Linked DNA regions of Mytilus edulis. The protein of the gene in region 1 purifies or fractionates together with the protein of each later gene. This does not show direct contact. Links are inferred from orthologs where the notes say so. Each region holds a gene or a part of one and is shown in the gene's direction. Other genes may lie near its edges. The genes, in order: zygotic DNA replication licensing factor mcm3-like, DNA replication complex GINS protein PSF2-like and cell division control protein 45 homolog.

The links.
Region 2: the proteins of zygotic DNA replication licensing factor mcm3-like (region 1) and DNA replication complex GINS protein PSF2-like purify together in Drosophila melanogaster (affinity purification with western blotting; 3 studies listed by BioGRID, with this or other methods). This does not show direct contact. The link is inferred for Mytilus edulis from reciprocal best matches to the Drosophila melanogaster genes Mcm3 and Psf2.
Region 3: the proteins of zygotic DNA replication licensing factor mcm3-like (region 1) and cell division control protein 45 homolog purify together in Drosophila melanogaster (affinity purification with western blotting; 5 studies listed by BioGRID, with this or other methods). This does not show direct contact. The link is inferred for Mytilus edulis from reciprocal best matches to the Drosophila melanogaster genes Mcm3 and Cdc45.

What each region holds. Positions count from the first base shown.
Region 1 is NC_092355.1:48,373,345-48,380,751, reverse strand, and holds the start of zygotic DNA replication licensing factor mcm3-like, read left to right. Parts: upstream 1-4,335; 5' UTR 4,336-4,485; coding exon 4,486-4,554; intron 4,555-7,407. Other genes in the region: tRNA-splicing endonuclease subunit Sen34-like, read right to left, coding at 4,223-4,289. UniProt on the Drosophila melanogaster protein: Acts as a component of the Mcm2-7 complex (Mcm complex) (Mcm complex) which is the putative replicative helicase essential for 'once per cell cycle' DNA replication initiation and elongation in eukaryotic cells.
Region 2 is NC_092348.1:80,010,985-80,018,950, forward strand, and holds the start of DNA replication complex GINS protein PSF2-like, read left to right. Parts: upstream 1-4,875; 5' UTR 4,876-4,933; coding exon 4,934-5,023; intron 5,024-7,966. Other genes in the region: transmembrane protein 143-like, read right to left, coding at 1,223-1,425, 4,734-4,823. UniProt on the Drosophila melanogaster protein: The GINS complex plays an essential role in the initiation of DNA replication.
Region 3 is NC_092349.1:77,089,043-77,096,185, reverse strand, and holds the start of cell division control protein 45 homolog, read left to right. Parts: upstream 1-4,129; 5' UTR 4,130-4,215; coding exon 4,216-4,266; intron 4,267-6,516; coding exon 6,517-6,576; intron 6,577-7,143. Other genes in the region: ubiquitin recognition factor in ER-associated degradation protein 1-like, read right to left, coding at 834-963, 3,879-3,881.

The sequences.
Region 1 (7,407 bases):
TTACAGTTTCCAAGAATAGATATTCATGATACTGTTGTTGTTCAATCATAATTGTTTCTGGTACTTTTAGTGAGGAAGTGTCAACAATTAGCACAATACAAATATTTTTCATCCCCAATCCAGGGATGATTCCACTATATAGTTTAGGGCCGCTTAACGGCCCTTAAATTGGCCAGCGGCCCCCAAAAATTGTTTGTAAATATTAATTCCCAATTCAGGAAAATAAAACAAAAATCGGTAATTCACCGATTACGGCAACTATAATTTTTCATAATTTGTCGTCAAAATGTTGTAAAATCCGGATAAGAATGCTGACTATGATCGCATTTTATTAACAACGATTTAATTTAATTATGTCAACATTAGGTAAACAATTTTGGCGGCCGGATTCAATTGAAGTTAAAATGTTATGGGAGAATTTGGTTTCGTAAAAGTAGATTGCTCAGCACGTTGATCAAAAATATGCTTTTTGTCAAAATGGGTGTCAAAACAGACCTTGGCAAAGAGCAAATTCAAATTTTGATAGAACATTGATGAATGAATTTTAATGGTAAAAGCAGATTACCCAGAAGAGCCGGTTATGTAATGTGGTTAAAACTTGTTTTGTAAAAGATTTTTTTTTATATTTTGCTCTTTTTTCCGCAAAAGACAAAAGTTTGAGCGTTTTTGAAAATATTGTTGATGATAGACCATTCGTGAAATGAGACCCCCCTGAAATACGATGTCATCATTTTGGAACTGTTGCAAAAGATATGTAAATAATCCAAATAATTTTAAAGTTCACTGGTTCAATTGCTTTAAATATCTTATCAATTAAATATATATACTTTTGTAATTGCTTTTCTAAATTCGACAGTTGGCCAGTTCTATTTGAAATAGTACATTTAAATCAAGGTAAGTTTATAAAGATGATCTGTTGAAAAATTACCCAATGGGTGATTTATTTCAGTGGTTAATATGGCAAGCCGTTTTGCTATTTAATCTAATTTCAAGATATCTCATAAACTTTATCAGATATCTTATATAATAGTTCATCAGATATTTGATATAGTTTGAAATATATCTTATAAAGTTTATAAGATATCTTATATAGTTCACGATATATCTTAAATAATTTATGAGATATCTTATAGTTTATAAGATATCTCATATAATTTTCTTTATCAGATATCTTATAAATTATATTAGATATCTTATAAACTATATAAGATATCTTATATAAAGTAAATTTGTAAGATATCTTATATAAAGTATATTTGTAAGATATCTTATATAAAGTATATTTGTAAGATATCTTATATAATGTATATGTAAGATATATATTTTAAAATCGATATTTGATATCTTCTATATTATTAAAGATATCGTATATAAATTATACGATATTTCATATGATTTTCTTAATATGATATCCAAATTATATAAGATCATGAAGATATCTTATACAAAACATATTTGTAAGATATTTCATATACTTCAAGATATCTTCAATATATCTTATATATTATATGAGATATCTTATATATTACATAAGATATCTTATATATTATGAGATAATTTGAAATTCGAATAAATAGCTAAACGGCTTGCCATAGGTTTATGTCAGCTGGTACTCGAGTTGTGGTATATATGTTTTTGTAATAGGCCTCGTTTACCAAAGTTAAGATGATAGTGCATCATATGCAATGATATTCATGTATTACAACTTCCCTAGTCTGAATCCAATAATTTCTTCAATCAGTATACAGGTGAAATTAACTTAATATTCATTTTCCGTTTTTACAGGAAAATGATATTATTTCGTCTTAGATTGTATGCATAAAAAAATCCCAATTGGGATAAAAATTCCCAATTTGATATTCAAGGGACCCATTTAAAAACACCTGGAATCATCCCTGCAATCAGACATCTTTAAACTGATGTAATTCCACTCATCCTTCAGGGGTTAAAAAATCCACTAGCCCGACGCCCGGGACTAGATCATTTACACCTCGGGCAATTAAAATGTGTAATCTGATATGCCCGACGGACTAGTAAAAAAATACTTCTTGACGTTTCCAAAATAAAAAAAAAATCCCTTCATCACTATTCTCTGTTAGCCAATTCGATTAAATTAAATCCTCTGGGATTCCAAGAATTGAACTGGTTTGTACAGGTCCTGTTGTACATATTTTAAAAATAGAACAAATAACTCTGGCATGTCTGGGTGGCCTGGTATCATGTGTTGATCGCAATTCTCGTACTTTAAATATCGATTTCTCATACCATGGCTTGGGGTATTGTACATTGCTTATCGTGCCGATATTTTCAATTAACGGTATTTGGGGGTATGATGTATTGATTGGTATTGACCTGTTTTGTTGCACAGCTCTTGAGCACGAAACCATGCAACAAAATATTTCTTAATATTTTAGTACGGGAACCCAAGGAACTTCGTCAGTTTCAAAACGAAAAACGGTAGATGAAAGGAGTAACGAGGCTGAAAATTCATCCCACAAAAATGCTAAATACGACAGGGAAAAGCCGCGGAAAAAAATTAATGGTGTCCAGGACAGAAGGGCTGCCAAGTCTTTAGCGCGAGACTCAAACATGTTCATGCTTATTTGGCGGCATTTTCCTTTGAACTATTGTTTTTTCTCTTTCATCTTTACAATTTGGCCAAAAAATCACGCATTCACTTCCTGAAAAGTTGGCAGAACTGGGACACAATGATTCCCCTGGCAAGGTTGGCTGTTGCTGATGAAAAGACAGACAATGCTCTGTGAATATTGCCGTTAGTTGCGCCAAACATGCAAAAAAAAAGTCTGCTTTGAATATGGGAACAACTGAGTTAGGTTAAGCACCAAAAGAATAAACAACAGATCAACAAAAATGATTAAATACAGTGTATAATGTCTCCTTCAAAACAAAGGACACCCACTTTGTATTTTGCAGCAAACTCTTGATTTTTAAGGCATACTAGGGCTAGCAGGTCAGTTTTGATGGACTAGCAGTTCTTCCAACAGAGCTAGTAAAATCCTGCTGCCAATAAGTCCTGGGCTAGTTAGCTGTAACAAAAATTTTTAACCCCTGATCCTTCTTTAAATTTTATAAATGAGGTACCAAAAGAAAGAAGAATGATTAATCTTTCAAATTGTGATAATTTCATTATGACATAATTATTACCGTACATAATTAATTGTTATGTAATTAGTTGCTATATTGTGATGTCCATACTTGAATGAATTTAGCTTCTTTGTTATATTGCATCCCAAAATATTTTATAGATTCTTGCACAACACAGTTTGACCTCCAAAACTATGTCTCAGATTTTTCCTATTGTATTTCATTCTCTCATAAATCTTCAATGAAGTTTGCAACATCAATTCATAAGAGATCACTAAATTCAATTGGATATAAAATTTGTTCTATTGATGATTTTGGAAATCTGAGACACAGTTTTGGAGGTCAAGCTGTGATGTACAAGAATCTATAAAATATTTTGGGAAATACCTTTTTGTGTTAACGTGTTATGGCACTTTTAAAGGTGTTGTTAACTGTTATCTGAGATCAATTTAAGCTGTTAACTGTTTTCAACCCACTTTGTTAACTGTTATCAGCATTTTTGCAATTTTTGTTAACTGTTTTTGCCAAAATTGAGGTAATTTGTTAACATGTTAACAGACCCCCTATCCCCCCCTCATTATTATTTGGACTAAGACTCAACCAGAAAAGATATAGACTAGCTGATATAGTGGTAGCTGCGGAAGCTATGGTTCCGCATGTCCGCAAATAGTCGAAAAATAACATAAGGACCTAAGAGCTACGGTTCCGCAGCTAATATAGTGGTATTTCTTTTCCAAACTTGTTATTGCCAACAGCAAAATTTGTATAAATGAAATGCCCCATACTTCTAGAGGCGTTAGAGACTCATTTGGGGGGAAACAAACATGAAAAGTTTGCCTTGTTTTTGTTGTTTTTGTTGTGTTGGTGTCTTGTTCACTTTTGGCTTATCTTCTTGGAATTTTACATATTTCCTCTGCAATCTTAATAGCTGAGTTCTAATGCATGATAGATTTATTGGTTCCAGTCCTTACTTTCAATTTAATTATAGCAAGGATTTGTATACCATTATTTTATAGTGCAAGACTACAAAATAATTTATACTTTTTTGGCACCTATGCCTATGGTGTTTTGGTGGGTTTTTTTTTTAATTTCACTTTTCACGATGTTATTTCAATACCTTTAGCACTCCATACAAATACATTTTGGTTCTGTAAATATATTTTGATTCTGCAACGATCAGACATTACATTTTCCAACGATTTTTAAAAGAAAGACAGAAAAATCTACTTTCAGTTTCACAAAAAGATAGAGAAGTTACGAACGGAAACCACGTGGAATAAATATACTAAAAATAACTCCCATGTGACATGAACGGCGGGAAATTACAGCATTACCTCCACAAAGAAACAAGAACCTAGGAAAATAACATTGTCGAGGAAAATGGCAGCAGAAATAGATCAGCGAATAATAGAAATACAGAGAGAATATCTTGATTTCCTTGATGATGGAGTAAGTATATTAAAAAACGATGCTGTAACTTTCCTGAAAAATAACTTATTATTTGTCAATCACTGACTAATATTTAGTTCAGCATTTTACTTTTCATTGATTATCACTGACATCAGACATCACTCAGTAATATCAGTAAAAGGATACAAAAACCATGAATCGTTTGATTCCTTTCATCGGTGAACGAGTTATTTACTTCAGTAGATCACTCAAACTCGGACTGAAACTGAAAGACATCTGTCATGATCAATGGACAAAGCATGCAATAGAAGTTAATTATAGTCTAAATAAGGGGCAGCCTCGATGTTCCAACACCCCGTTAGTCCGACACGCCATTGGTCCGACACCCCACTAGTCCGACACCCCATTGGTCCGACACCCCACTGGTCCGACTCCCCATTTGTCCGACACCCCATTAGTCCGACGCCCCATTGATTGTATATTGTTTGTCCTATTATATAGATCTCTATATTGTATTTGAAATAAACACAAATTCAGGAATTTTGCAACTTAGATCGAGGGCATCTTCGCTAGCCAAGGGTTACGATCCACCCTTGGCGGATTGAGCCAACATTTGTGAAAACAATGTTTCGCCACCTGCCGGAAGATTTAAGTCACGCCCATTCCAAATACATTATTCTTGACCAATGGTAGCACTTGAACTCTTCAATTCGAAGGTAAAAAGACGGTAGTGTCCAGATTCTACACACTTGGTAAAGCCGGAAACGAAAATATACGTCAACATTCATGCATTTGTGCATGAAACATACACAGGAACTTCTATTAGTTGATTAAAAACATTCAAGTTGTCACTAAATATAGTCGTATTTTTAGGGATGTAAAGACTTGTAGCACAATAAACACGTGGCAATTGTTTACAAACACTTTCCACATTTACAGGTGATCATGTTAAAGGCGCTTTTTGATTGGATGCAGCAAGTTTCGACTGCAACCAATAAAAATCCTTACCCTGTGTCTCCGAAATTTTATCTCAATCCGCCAAGGGTGAAGAGAGCGGGAGTGGATCGTAACCCTTGGCTAGCGAAGATGAGATCGAGGGATACCCCTAGAGTATCTCTATTAAAGGCAAAATAAAAAATCGACCTGTAAGTATACAAGAAAAAATGACATTACAAATGTTCAAGTAAAACAATCACTATATATTTTTGTTAAGGAGCCAGCTGAGGCACGCATCCGGGTGCAGGAGTTTATCGCTGCATTGAAAACCCATAAGTGGCCTTCGGCTGCTGTCTGTTCTTTGGTCGGGTTGTCTCTTGCTCAATTTGACAATTAAGAAAAATAAAAGTTGTTCAAAACAAAAACTCCGACTCACAACCTGCAATGTAACTAGTTCATCTGGAAGGATATAAACAACACTACAAAGAAAGTCCCATAAGAAGATCGGTATATTCTTACTTGTTACCGGTATTCGAATGTGCAATAGTAGTTTCACGAAACCAGGAAAAAGAACCATGTACATGTATATTATCACAAAAAAGCATCTATAGCTAGGCCAGGTATTAAAATATCAACAAAATAAATGCAGGTTTAATTTTTGGAGTAACTTGAATGTTATGGCAATTCTGACGTGTTTGTTTTCATATGCCGGTCAAAACTATGACGGGACTTACATTTATTATGGTATACAAATTACCATCTGTCAGTCTGTCTGTCCATCTGTCTGTCCGGCGTAATCATGTCACACCGTAACCTGAGAACGACTTATACAAATTGCATGAAACCTAATATAGTTGTTTTTTATGATGGTCAAACGATCTGTATACTTTTTGGTGAAAATAAAAATTACGGGACTTTGTAACTGAAAAAGGGGGTGTTTTTTTCACATGTCACGCCGTATCTCAATAGCCATTTATGATTATCGCTAAAACATTTCTTAGTTATATTAATCTAAAGATCTGTATACTTTTTGGTTACAATTCAAAATTTTATTTTTGAGTTATTGAGTTTTTGTAAAAAAAGAAAAGAGGGGGGGGGGCGAGGGTTCTCACATGTACCGCCGTATCTCAAAAAGGATTTATGATTATTGCTTAACACCTTACACTTCTTAGGGTGCAATCAACAGTTTTTTTCTATGACGTCATATTTTGAGGGACCATGTATAAGTGACCCTTAGTGGTGGACTGATTAATAAGGATACCTGTAACATTAAATTATTTAAATTAAGAGTTTATTAAGAATTCTAGAAAATGGAAAGGTTTAGACCATGGGATGTTACTCCAGTGTTGTCATTAGTTTTCTTCTTAAAAAAAGGCTTTCCATTGGCCAAAAACTATTTTGTGATTATGTATGTATAGTCACACCACTGTGATCATGTTATGTATGTGTGGTTAAACCCGTGATCATGTATTTATTTGTCACAACACTGTGATTATGTATGTATGGTTACACACCTGTGATCATGTATGTATGGTCACACCACTGTGATCATGTTATGTATGTGTGATTAAACCCGTGATCATGTATGTATGGTCACAACACTGTGATCATGTATGTATGGTTACAACACTCAAGCATTGTGGTTTTCAAACTTGTTTATGTAATGGTCAATGTGCTGTTACCATTCTGGAAAAGTTAAATTATTGTTGTCATTTTATAATTATCAATGTTGTGTTACCATTCTGGAATAGTCAATCTAAGGATACTTTTGAAAGATCAATTAAATGATAATTAACACTACATTTACCATTCTGGAATGGTAACACTACATCGACCATTCTGGAATGGTAACACTACATTGACCATTCTGGAATGGTAACACTACACTACATCCACCATTCTGGAATGGTAACACTACATCGACCATTCTGGAATGGTAACACTACATCGACCATT
Region 2 (7,966 bases), on another chromosome or scaffold:
TTTCAATTTTACTAATGAAAAGATATTTTTTAAACCTACTAGAACACACCCGTGATATCACGGGTCCGTGATTGAATTAAAGTATATAACTATGCGCAAGCCTTATTTTAGTATTAGTATTGTCATCTGTTAAAGTCATGCCGATTATAAGATACACAGTTTTTCTCTGCTTTCAAGTCTCTGTTTGAACCCGTGGAACTGGAACTTATCAATTATTGGTAATATTAATTATTTGGAAAACAAAAGGTCCTGGAATGGAGTATTTTTTAATCAACAGCATTGTCCTATATAAGTTATAAGTAAAGTTGAATTCTTTGCCTCACTGTTTTACGTCATGCCCACTAACAAATTGAAAACTGTACCTATACGCCTTATTTTTAGTCCAGATTTTTAGTATTCGTATTGTTATCTTAGAAAGTCTAACTGATTAAAATACTACAATAGGTAACAATTTGACAATTTAGTAGTGTCAACCCTGTGGTTATGACCCGTGTATATAGCATATTAATCCTGAATACAACGTTTGGTGGTGCGCCTGTCAGATGCGGAACGTACAGATACTGTAATAAGTAACAGGTAAATATACTATTGGTATCGGTAGCGGACTCGACCCGGAACTTCTTCATTATTGGCAATATTAATTACGTGGAAAACAAAAGGGCCTGGAGTGGTGTAATTTTTAATCTACACCTTTGTACTATATTAGTTATATATAAAGTTGAATTCTGTGATTCGTCGTTTTTATGTGATGACGGCTGACAAATTGGACCTCGTAATTTTAGTATTATAGATGTGTTGAAAAATTTTGGTAAAACTACAAAATCACAATTTGTGACAAAACTTCGAATTTGATACTCAAATAAGTGATTTAAAAATCACTTATTTCATTAGGTCCCCTGACTGGTCAATGTAGAACTTTCGTTTCCGGAAAAAGTTTTGTATGTCATAAGTGGTTTCATCAATCCTTTTTTTAAATACCAGAAAAAATACATATGTACTGACATTTGCTGAGGTAGATGTTGGACCAATTATTGATTTGAAAGATACTGCAAAAGCTGGTATTAACTAACAAATTTTAAAGTACATTTGTGTATTACAGAATCTAGCATTTCTTTTTGTAAATATCCTGCATTTTACTCTGTGTCAACACAATAGTCAATAAGGAATTAAAACTTAATACAAAATAAATCAAATCTGTAGCAAACATTTAATTAGAAATTACTTGTACAAATCTTCCTCCTCTTCTACTTCTAGAACAGGTGCAGTTACAACTTCATTCTTTGGATCAGACGTCTCAGCTAGCTTATCATTTCCTACACATCTAGTTGTAGAAATTGTACGCCATTGTATGTGTTGGCATGTCTTGAGATGGTAATGTCTTTGTGCTTTTGAAGAACATATGGTGAATTCATGATTCAGTAAACACTGTAAATAAAATAAAATTTTATATTTTAGAATGTTTATGTTTGTTCAAGTAACCTAAGGTGCAAAATAAAATAGTCTTTGTCAGTCTGGTTGTAAAAGTGCTTTTTAGTATTGTATAAAGCGGGACCTTTTTCATAGAAAAAACATGATCATGATAATATGGACAAATAAAACTTTTCTTAGGAATATAATTGCTAGACACACATTCCTAATAAAATTATGGTCATAGACTTGATTACCTTGGAAGAAAAATCTGGCTGAAATTTTTTATTACGGTACTGGACCAAATTTACTGTTACATGTGCTAGGGTTGTGGCCATCCAAAGTCTAATGACTTCTTTAAGGGACCATCATATAGTCTTCTTTTAGTAAGAAAAGCTATAAGAATTCATATAAAAAGGATTTGCAATTTCTCTACCTTTTTTGAAGCAATACAATAAGTATGGCCTCATTTATTAGCCTTTGTAACCAATATCACAGATAGACATGGGATGGGGTCAGCAGTGTTCTCCCCAGGCCGTTTTAGTGCTGCGCTTTTCAGCGCTATCACAATCACCCGCTGTTCTACTGCACTGACCGTATAGGAATATTATATTCCAGCCCACATTGTGTTTTTCTTATATACACAATGCAAAATAAAGTAAGATCAAGGGGGCAAGCTGTTAAAAACAATTAACTTTCTTGTTTTTTCTTTTAAATCTGAAATGTTTAAGGCAAATACATGCAGTATTTTCATCAAAGCAAATTTTAATAAAAGAATACTAGTATCAATTTTAATATGTATACTTTTAAAAATGTTTTAAAACATGTTTTACAATGTTTTAGAGAGTTCTTATTAAATTAAAGAATATCGAATTTAATATGCGCTTATATTATTAAAATATTTAGGAGAAGACTTATTTGCTGAAAGATTTCTAATTTTAATAAGTGCATGTTTCTTTCTTAATCTACATGTATACAGTGTTCCAGCTAGGATTTGAAAATAGAGGGGCGTGTTTTTAAAAAGGGCACTTTAACGCGTTCTCACTGAAAAAATCAAATACTTAATATTACCACATAAAGACATATTTTTAGCAAGCATGTAGCTTAGTTAAATAGCTATTATATACAAGTTTAAAAATCATTTATTTAGAACATATAAGTTAAAATCAAACTGATAGCAATAATAGACATTACTATATTCATTTCTCTTTCAGAACTACAGATTTTTTCAAAGAAGAGTTCAAATGCAAATAAATATTAAACAACAATGACAAATCTTCTGTTTTTCTTTTTGAAGAAGGTTGTCACACATTAGTTTCATCACAGTTTAATTTTACAGTTAATATTTTTGTTAATGTCTGTGTTTTCAAGTTTGCCCTGTGACTTGTCTTTATCAATTTGACCTGAGAGAATATTTTCTCCACCTCTGCTGTACTGAGTGGTTGTACATGTCATATTGCAACACTGAATAGTTTTGCAACAAGAGGGTACATAAAGATAAAAGGTTTTTATCCTAATGACAAGGTGAATGAAATAGCTCTAGCAGACTAGATAAGGAATGATCTGTAAGTTCTGCTGATGATACAAGAGCTATAAAGTCCTGTTATTGAATAAGGAGAGTTTCTATCTCTGTATAACCATACATTGTTTCACTGTTGTCTGTTCAATTCAACAAGCATCTCCGTATATTTCATGTTGAGCGTATCTTATAAAATCAATAAGTTTGTCAAAACGGATTTCAATCACAGGCACTTGTTTCTATTCATATTGGAAGACCCCCTATCAACGTATATTTACGGAAATATACGTTGATGGGGGTCTTCCAATGGATAGAAACAAGTGCCTGTGATTTCAATAAGAAAATTGATACAAAAATCGGACTTTCGAGAGCTCCGTAATCGGCACAATAATAAATTATTTCAATTTTGTAAGTGTATTATCAATTCAACAAGCATCTCCGTTTACTTCATGTTGAGCGTATTTAATTATATCAATATTAAAGTTAGTCAAAACGGACTTCAATTTAAGAAAAAATGATATAAAAATCGGACTTTCGAGTGCTCTGTAATCGGCGGAATTTACAATAGAAGAACAATTGCGATATTTGATAGAAACCTTTCTTCTTCTCGATTTTTCATAAAGTTAAAGAATTAAATTTTTTTTTACTTTTGATGGTCATTATTCTTGAAAAAAGATGTAATAGACTGGCAAGTCTTTGATATTTTCTTCTTGTCATTTCCGAGTTGGTCAATTTTTCTTTTTTTCGTCGGCATTTTGCGTGTTGACCTATTGGAATGATTCTTTTTAAATGAACGTTATTTTATAAATAACAAGTACAGTAGAAATGAACACCGTTCACATTTATTTTATACATTCTATTTTGCATCGTCAGGTGTTAAAATAATCAATTCATTTAACTTTGATGTTTGGTGCTTCAGGGCAAAGGGATTAGACAGGGTCGTAAATTTCACCTGATTAAGTAATTGACTCCAATCAAATAGGTGATTATATACAGGTAACAAGTGTCAACAATTTTAATCTGTTGTCTTAATGAAGTGTGTGTATAAAGAACTCAACAAAATGGCGACGATATGATGAAAAAATATCGTTTTTTAAACTTTTTTTCAAAAGGGCACAGAGGGGCGCAGGGGCGCTTAAAAAAGGCGAAGGGCGCATAATTTCGGTGGCGGGGCGCAGCGCCCCTCCATTTCATGCTAGCTGCAACACTGTGTATATACTTCTTATTAATCTTAAGACCGACAAAATAAGAAAAAAAAAGGTTTATATTTGTCCATATTATCATGATCACTGTTTTGCCGGAGCCACAAATTAGCGTCAAGGAGGCTATATTGTCGGAGCAAGTAAAATACTTAAATAGCCCCATAGAGGCTATTTTGTCAGAGCCCGCAAAATTGCCACTGCGTTTTTATAATAGGGCCTATTCAACTTATGGCCTTATTGACATAAAAGCCTCTTAAAAACCAATAACCTTGGGAGCACCTGCCTCATATGGGGGAATTTAGGTTGCAAGGTCTCTTTTCGACTTTTGTCCTTTAACTCATAAAGTCATAATCTGTGTAAATGCTATCTTTACATACTTCATATGCTTTCACATGTAACTACCTCTTCGTGTTACTTAAGCGACAAGGATAAGAGATCAAGCAAAATTATACGAACGTATAACTCATTAACTGTCAAAAAAACAGATTGACAAGGATGTCAATTTCCTATTTACTCAAGCCAATGTCAGAGGTCTGACTCTCAAGAATTAATAGAAAAATGTCACAAAAACGTTGAATGCAAGGGCAATGAATAATTTAAAAGACCTTTACTCCTTTTGCTACTTGTTTTGCAAGTCCTGCTTTTCGGGACAGCAGAAGGACAGCCATACTGCCCGATTGCACAGTCTGTCTCATAAAAGCGTTTGTACTATAGTACATACAGAAGGGCTTTTCCCTTAGCTGCAAATTCATTCGAACAACGCCGATTCACGTCACCTTGACCGTAACTCCCGCGAAAATCTTGAATGGATCCGGCTGAAGTGGAATTTCTTGCTGAAAAAGAGGAAATATCTGTTGTCCCCAACTTTACACAGGATAAGATATACCTGATTGGTGTTAGTAATAACACAATAAGAACGCTCTTCTTATGCATGACATTTTTGTTATAGCATAATTTGAAGGCATTTATTTGGTGCCATAATTATTCCATAATGCATAAGTCTATGTTTGGTTACCAGTCTTCACACTTAACCACAGGCCCAGCTGGACTTACAAAAATACTTAAGACATGTCAAAGTCATCTCTACAGTCTAACAGACTAACTAAAATATTCCTAAAAATCTCAAAGCAATGTACTATAGTATAAAGTGGGTCTCATTGGGATCTAAACGTGATGCTGGATTGCCGTTATTTTTCTTATCAAGACATGTAATAATTGTGCTGTGAAAACAGTACCAAGATTTCCCGAGAAATACAAAAACCTTTATAATATCCCCAAAACAAACTGATATATACAGATACATGTAACAAAGATTTGTTATAGGCACTGGCTACGGTTACATGGAAATGTAACAATAATAAAAATATTATTGTTACATTGGAGACTAATTGCCGGAATGCAAAGTTGGGTGAGGAACCGATTAATTACAAATGTAACAATAACTACTGAGGCTACGGTTACATTACGTTATTGTTACATGAAAAACAGCAATGTACGCTAGATTGATCAAACTTAAATATTCTATAGTTGTATTGCTTCATTCTTTCATATGTACTAAACAATACTTGTAATTTAATACTGATAAATAATAGAATATTATTATTCAACAAATAGTGTACAACTTGAATAGTTTTACTACGTATTAATGGTTTTGGTGTTCTTAAAGATACTACTCAAGATTAGGAGTGTGACTTCAAAGGCGAAAAATATAGTTCAATGGTTTCACTTTTTTAAAGTATTTAACTGCACACCTACTCTTATTACTGTCATTATACTTTGGACCAAATTTTGTTTATGGTGAAAAAAATAAAACTTGGGATGCGTTTTAAACGAAAATGAAACAATATCAAGACATACATTTCATACAGCTTTATAACTTGACGCAAATTGATAATCAAAAGCAAAGTTTGTTAACTGTAACTTAAATACTAAGAAATTCTGTATGTACACGTATCCGTGGAGGACGTAATTTCGTTCATCAAAAATGTGTCGGACTTTAAAAACAACTTACTGGATTTGTAGAAATGGTCATTGTAAATTATAACGAATTACAGTAAATAAATTGTATGTTATAAATGTCCTCAACTTTTATTATTTAGAACATATTACTAGTCCCATCGTACATTGCTTTTTTTCATGTAACCGTAGCCTCAATAATTATTGTTACATTCGTAATTAAACAGGTCCTTACCCAACCATGCATTCCGGCATTTAGTCTCCAATGTAACAATAATATTTTTATTATTGTTACATTTCCATGTAACCGTAGCCAGTGCCTTTGTTATATGGTATTATGCTTTTTTCTTATAGTGTTATGCTACTTTTAACAATATTAAAAAATAGTAAAGATATTTGTTACTCACTAAAAGTGCAATTTCACTTTAAGAACTTGATTTGTATGTGTTGTATGCAAAATATGATATACGACATATTGTTTTCAACAAGGAATTTGCATTCAAGATATAAGCATAAAAAATCTTGTTTTCAGGATATACATGTATCAGTTTGTTTTGGGGAAATTACGTTGTTCTTGTATTTCTCGGGAAATCGTGGTACCCCTGTGAAAAAGGGAAATGAAGTCTAGCCAGATATAGGGAAATTACAAAAGAATGAGAATTGCTTATGTACATAGTGTGAGCTGGATACAGGAATATGACAAAACAGTGAGCAGAATCCGGGATCAGAACCCCCAAGTAAAAGTAACCTAAACTTCATCATGTTGAAGGTGGTCATAACAAAGTAGAAGTATGAAAGTTAAATAGCTAAAATCGATCAGTCACTGTGAAAACCGTCCAAATATGAGAAAGTAAAGGGTGGCAGGTACACAAAGAACAAATTGATCAATTTATATAGATCTAAGGCGGTCATTCTCCTCCAGAAGCCAATTAGCAGTGCATTCATTAGGACGGACAAATATTCCATCCTAGCTTGTCTGGAAAAACAGCCGTTTGACGTCAGAGTAATCTCGGACTAATTACATACATGACTGTACTTGTTCCAAATGTGATGCAAGACTGTTGTTACTGTAATACCTCTAATATATTTATGAATTTAGAATTTGTTATTCCCAATACCCTTTAGCTTTTCCCAAGGGATCTGTTTGAATTTCTGTAAATGTCTTTTTGGGTACAGGTATCATCAGAAACAATATCCAATCTGCTTAAAAGTTAAATTTCTGATCAGATAAATTTGGTATTGATAATGGTAATATAAATTGTTCTTTTGAGTCATTTGCTGGTTATGTGGCACATTTTGTTGTTCTTTTTGCATATAATTCTAAGTTAAGATAAGGAAGTTCTTTTCTGATTTGTTTGGTTATTTGGCACATTTTGTATGCTGGCATTTAATTGTAGGCCAGCATCTCAGTGTGTCAATGCAACTAGACATGCCTAACATCTATGGAGTTTTGAAGGGCTCTGAGAGTATTTCCATTCACTATGAAATTATCAGCTGTTAATTGAAAGTTGATTTAGTGATGAAGCTAAATCTAAATTTATTCAGAATTGAGAATATATATGTAAAGTTTTCTGTTATATATTGGTGACTTGGCCTGTATTTCCTACTTTTAATTATTTTTGTTTCGGGCAGGTTGCTAGTTTACATGCAATGAGAGAAACATTTAACTGAGAATGGGAATGGGGGATGACATGTGCTGAATACTGCTTCTTACTGTTGTGTAACTGGCAATTGAAGTCAGCGTATTCATTAAGAACCGATTGCCGATTGAAATGATCGTTTATAATCAAATTCCCATCGGTTGTTTTTCTGATGTCAAAAAAATATAAATCGTACTTTTAGTTTTAGATCGTCGGTCACTATCTAGGACAATCTAGAGAGA
Region 3 (7,143 bases), on another chromosome or scaffold:
GTGGATAAATATCGTATCACACTCGATGCAGTGATAGAATCTATATTTATTTGATGATTTGTGCTAGGTTGCTATGTCACTGTCATATACTATAGATAGATCTCCTTAAATTCATTCCATCCAGATCTAATGCAATATAATAATTGTCAATTGAGGAACATAAATTCAATGTCATAAACTATTGTTCAAGAATTATTAGTGATATTTGATATGAATGTTTCAAAAATGAAAAAACTTCTAGGCAATATTTCTGATTCCTCAGTATATGGTCTGGGGACACAGTTACCGTTACAGTTATCATTATTTGATTTTTTTTGTCCACAAATAGTCCATAACTTTTTTCATAAATACTCCTTCTTTTATATTATTAATACATTGAATATCAAATAGGTGAATGAAACTATGTGTCAAAACATTGTGAGTCATGCATTTTGTTTCAAGAGTGAAAAAGTTCTTTGGTGTTAAAACTATAGTATATCTGAAGCTAACAATCTGAATTATAGATCCCCTTATTATAAAATTATTCTCATTTTAGGTAACAGGTTTTGATAATTTTGTCTGTATAAATTTAAAATTTGTCCCAAAAAGAAGTACACTGCACTGTAAAAAAATCTTTTTTAGAATGGAGCAGGTTCAATTTTTTGTAAATTGTGTTTATTGTCTAAAAGAAATGAACTGCAAAATAACTGCTTTCTCTGGCCTGACCAAACTACACAAGGAAAGATATTTTGCTTATTGAAAGTTTTTTATTATATATAAATCAAAGATCGTAGATCTTGTCACCCAAATAAAGGGAGATAATCTGTAAGTATAATTATATTTGTTTATCTTACTTTTTCCACCTCTCTCAACGTCTTCTCTGTTATCTAACATGGTCACAGAATAACATCTATATGTCTGTTTAAATCCACCCAGACCTCCACCCAGCTCAGGCCCAAATATGTTACCTCCAAATCTACCAAACTGGAAAATAAAAAAATTATATGAATTATCTGTTAATAATACAATACATTATGTCTGATATTACCATCTTTTATACATGTCTATGTATCATGTGTATTCTAAATTGTCAAATTAATCCATATTAATAATTTTCTATTTTGTTAATCATGGTCTTGGTTTTTTTTTTCATTTTATTTTTTAGTTTAATTTTCTGTTAGCCAAATTTTGAATCAGTTTCTCTATCGATTCGATGAATAATAATTAATTTACATGCATTACACTCTATCTGTCATGGCTGTCTACATTCACATGATTCACCAGTCTTGAGTTGGTTTTTTTATGAAAGAGTTACAACGGTTGAACTGTGGTCAATCAGCATAAACGATCATTTCTTACTGTGACACATAAAACAATTACGGGAAAATGCATGAATTCAAAAGTCTTCTATTGTATCTGGCATTATATCATTTTTTATTTGTAATATTAAAAAATCTTTTGTATATTGGCAGTATGTCAAAATCTTGGAATGTTTCCACTGTCATGACAGTGCTACTCATGCTACTGTTGTCCTATAAATGTTTAAAGGTTTTTCAACTATATGTCATATGTTTTCGTATGTCATATGTTTTGGTATCAACCACATTTCGTGGGTTTAGACGGCATACACGTACATTGTGGCGTGTTTTTCGGTTTCTATATTTGGAACAACAACCACACTTCAACATGACAAATGTGTGACAAATTCAAAGTCGCTTTTAAAAACGTAAGAACTAATTAAATTAAACTTGCCTGTTCAGTCATTCTTATTTAATGTCAATAATACGGATCATAATAGAATAGTTGTTCAGAAAAATTCTGAGGGATTACATGAATTATAGCCATATTGTCTGCCTGTCCCACATCAGATCTTCAACACCATGTATCATCGTACAGCCTATATAGGTACTAACCAAGCGGGCATGATCAATTTTGAACTGACATGGTAACGAAAATCTTTGAATTGTTTTATCAACATTCAGTGTACAAAATTTCTCAACATCTGAAATTCCTGCTCCAAAATAATTTTTGCATCGATTTTTTTCTATTTATAAGACAACTTTGATATTTTAATAAGAACAATCAACTTGTAAATGCGCAAATAGTTGTGAGTGTCACCACCAACTTTCAATTTCGATACAATTGTCGAGACATTTACATGTTTTATCTGAAAGAAAGCTTATACAGGGCAAAAGTAATAGTTACCAATATTAAACCTACCTGTGATTACTCATTCCTTGAAAATGTTTGGGTAATAAACGAGTATGAAAATTTAGTTTTTGTGTACGGTGTACAGCAACTTAACTATATAGATGCATCGTACAGAAGGATTCATGTGGTCAGCTAAACACTGTACACAACGCTTCATTTCGGAATAAAATATCGAAAAAAAAGTATGCATGAAAGATTTCAATGCCAATTATTGAAACACTTAATATTGCAGACACACAATGGCCTTCTATCAGAAAAAGAGTTGCATTGGAAATAGAATTATATCGGATGAGACGAGTGCCAACTTCTTTGACAAGTATTTGCACATGTTTTTTGTAATTATTCTTGCTTTGGCAAAAATAATGAGACATCTCTAATATCATCAACCTATGACCAAATCATTTCTTGAAACAACTATTATGTTTAGATTGAAGTACAAATTGATATTATGTGAACAAAACAAAGATTTTCGTTACCGCATGAGGTCAAAATCGATCATGCCCGCTTGGTTAGTACCTTTATCCGCTGGACTGATGATACACGGTGTTCAAGACATGTGACTGTCATGTGGTTTTTTGGTAATTTATTACAAACCAGGGAGTTAAGGTTATCATGGTTCTTATATATAAAATGGCTGTTCAAAATTATTTTTTTCAATATTTTATTGACAATTCTTTTTATACATCCTTGATACATGAAGATGAAAACAGTCTTAACTTTTTATATTTAATCCTAAATTTTGAAAACTGCATTTTATTTTTTTTTTAAATCATGTATTTTACAAGTACAAACCAGGTGCCAATCTGAAATTAATCAAAATCTAACAATTTCAGCACAAGAAACACCAATCTAAAACTATTTGCTAGTAATTTTTAGTACTGAAAAGTATTAAATAACCTTTTTCATGATTCAAGCAATCACCAGAACTACGACTTTTAAAAGAAAATACTGATTTCCGGATTTTATATAGTCATTTCCTGTTTATGTACTGATCCAATTTTTATTTCATCATGTTCATACGAAAACATATGACGGCGTTTTTTAGACATACAAAAATCGCAGAGTAATTGGAAACAGTAAAAAATCTTAGTAAGCCTTGTCAAAAAATATAGATACCTAAAATCAATCTACAAGTCATGCGTTTTAAATTTGAGTAAACACCTGAATTAAAACTCAACAGTGAAAACCATCAGCAGTGAAAATTGTTATTAGAATGAAAACACATCACACAATGATATATCTAATTTTGTTTTAAACAATTTAAAGATTTACATGGAGACGAAGTCCCCTATTACAGAAGAAAAATCCCCCCCCCCCCCCCCCCAAAAAAAATCAGGTAAAATTTCCAGAAATTTTCATTCTACTAATGAACTCAAAATCGTCAGACTTTTTAAAATTGTTTGTTATGAAAAAAACATTACCTGACGACAGAGTTTCTTTGTTTAAATTGAATGTGACGTCATAACTTAAATAACGTCACAACTAAAATCCCTAACAGCAGAACCAAAATCAGAAATGTTACGGTATTTCCGTTTCTCTTTTTAACATGTTTGAATGAAAAAAATCGTATAAACTTCGTCCCCATTCACTGGTAATGCCTGTCTCATATTACTTAATCTAATTATTATATGAATTTGCTGTATTTTTTTAACTATCAACTTATGTATGTAGTTTGATGTTTTCATTACCATTTTTGTATTGTTTGGTTTTTCTTTGGATTTAACCGTGTAATATTCTAAATTCAACAAAATGACTCAGTAGGAAATAAATCGAAAGTAAATAACCAGTGTGAATTATGTTGTCAATAAGTCTTAGTATATTCTTTTCCTGAAAAACGCAAAACTGATTCAGCTTTTGGGGCTAAAAATAGACTTTTCTTAACTAGGTTATGATTGGCCAATTTCTACTTTCGTATTGAAAATTCTACCAACGAAAGTTATTGTTACAAATGACAACAATTTGTCTTACTTCCGGTGTAAACCCCCGCCACAATCTAAAATGTGAAAAATTACTTTATTGTTGAAAATGTTTATAAAAGACCTCAGAAAGGGCTTTTATGACGAGATCTTACATCAGGTAGACAAGACACTAAACATTCAAACTCAATCCTTCAAATTAAAATCGTTCAATTCAGTATTAAGGTTCATCATAAGGAATTGAAAAATATGGCCGTGTTTACACCTCCAAAATTACTATGAGTACAGACAAACTGGTACATCCAGGAAAGTTTTAAGGCATGGCAGGAACTAGATATATAAAAGTTATATGAAGTCTACGTTTCAGAAAATTAAAAACTTACCTGGATTTTGATGTTCATTTTTTTCCAGTCTGCAGAAGATAGCAAAATAAACAAACACCCGAGTTTCATTTGATACGGTCCACTCAGTTACACAGTTTAAACCTGTTAAATCACCTATTGTTTACAGGTGTCTATTGTCCATCTATTGTCCATTTAAATCAATACTACTCACAACATTGATTATATGAGGGGAGCTTCTCAATCGTTTTCACTACTTAGTTAATTTTTGCACCTTCTGCAGGAACGAAAAAAAAATGGATAGCAAATTCTAGAAAAGTTTATAATTTTCTGAAACATAAAATGCATTTAAAATTTATATATCTAGTTCCTGCCATCCCTTAAAACTGTTGCAGGTGTATAGGTTAGTCTGTACTCAGAGTAAAATTTGGGGTGTAAAAACGGCCATTTTAGCCAAAAGGTTATAATGAACCTTAAATCTGCTCTTACTATATCAGTCAATGTCTATGAACTCAGTAACTGTAAGGCAAAATAATGTCTTGTCATTAATGAGGCGGGATAGGACCTTTATCGGGACTCCGGGATCGTGTGTTTTTAAGAGATGGAGACCAGTGAGGAATTCAAGATCAAACTCACCAAGCTCCTCTGTAGTGGCTAGCAACACAAACAATAGATACTAGTAGAAAATGTTTTTAACTGTTTAACCTACACCTGTATATAAATTATAAGCACAATTTTGGAACTATGTAAATATAGAAAGTTTATTGTCATGTTGGAAGACGTCAAAAGTTAAACTATACTTGAGTGATGGGTCGAAGTACCCTTTTCGAGTGACGCTATGTCGTAGATGTAGATAATGTCTGTGGGCTCTCAAGACGCGAAGGCCACATTTCCATGATGTCCATACCGCCATATCATCCTTGGGACACAATGATGTATGCTTGGGTGCTGTGTTTTATATTGATCTCAATTTGTATTTCCTTACAAAAATACCTGTAGTGTGAAGTTGCTCAGATGTACAACAGCTGTTTTGCCAGACAAACTGGGGCCATGAGACATCAGAGCTTGTCCCATATCAAAATTGGATAAATGACCATCCAAATGCACTGCTTTGTTGCTTCTTGATGTTCTTGGATCGGGTCTCAATCTGTTTGTTTTTTTATTTTTTTTTCGTTTAATGTATGTTTTTTCATCTAATTGCCACCCTTTAATTTCTCATACTAATAGTTTTCACAGTGACCCATAGATTTTGGCATTTTTACGTTCACTTTGAAAGATTGTCAATCATGTGACCAACGAGAAAAAGTAGTGCAATGCATTTTGAGAGCTGATTTATTCAAATGGCTCCGGTCAATAATATTGAACATATAATCTAACACCTTGTTTATTTACTACACAAAAATGTTGAAAGGCTGAGTGTGTTCTGATTATTATCATGGTTGGCTAGGAAGGTTCAAGGCTGAAATCAGCATTACAATTTGCATACTTTAAGTCTGGGTGCTGCAAGGCCTCCATGAGATGAGGTCCATTTGAAAATAAAAAGAAATATGAAAAATGACAAGTTGAGGCACCATTTATATGGATCATGGGATGTCAGTCAGCTCCAGAACCAACAAAGCAGCACATCCAGAGCTACTACTATTACCTGTAACTTAAATATTTCATGCCCTTCCTGTAATCAATCTACATTCTCAGAAAATGTTGTCAGCTACATGTATTCTTTTACTTTCTGGTTATACTCACTATGCAGCATGCCATGGAAACATTGTGATGTAAATTATGCATACACGATATTGTACTTCAGGCCAGCTGCTTCAGGCACAACTGTATTGTTTTTATCCTGAATCGGTGATGACAGTGACTGAAACATGTAGAACAATAAATATAAAAGTTACTTGTTGAGGTAACAACCCTGACCTACCAACCACCTTTTGACAACCCTGCATCATATTGCATATGACATTAATGGTCTCTACAATAAGCGTGTCCAGAATATATTTTTTTTCTTTATTTATTTATAGAACTTTAAAAGGTTCAAAAACTTATAATGTTTATTGTTTTATTTTCAGAGAGTGCTTGTTTTAGTTGCCTTTGATATTGATGCTCTATGTGCCTGTAAAATACTTCAGGTAGGATATCATTTATTAATTAATACACAGTTACTGTAATTGTTTGCTTGATGGTGTATACCTGTGTACTGTAATGCCACTTTTCATTAATTAAAACAATTGGATATTGTTCATTCTATTGTTGGAAAATGTTCAAAAACACAAAACCTAGAGCAAACCACTTATTTGCAAGAAGTGTGAAAATCAAATTAATGCTGACTCACAGTTTTTGAAACAAATAAAAACAATATTAAAGAGAAAGAGTATAAAATAAATAACTCTATACAGGACACAATGTAGCAGCAATGATTCCTCTGAGAAAACAGATGTACAAACAACAAGAAAAAGACATTTGTACTCCGGCAATAATATTTTTTTATAATGTACCTCTTAGATGATTGTTTGGTCAATATATGTATGTTATTTGTTGAATTTGATTCAAAAAAATCTAAATTCAGTAAAATGTGAGGATTTTGTTAATCCAGGTAGAAAAGGTGGATATTGTATGAACGATGTAAGCCTAGACCATTTAGCCACATATCTCATATTTAAAATTATACTATAAGAAGTTAAATACTTATGATATTG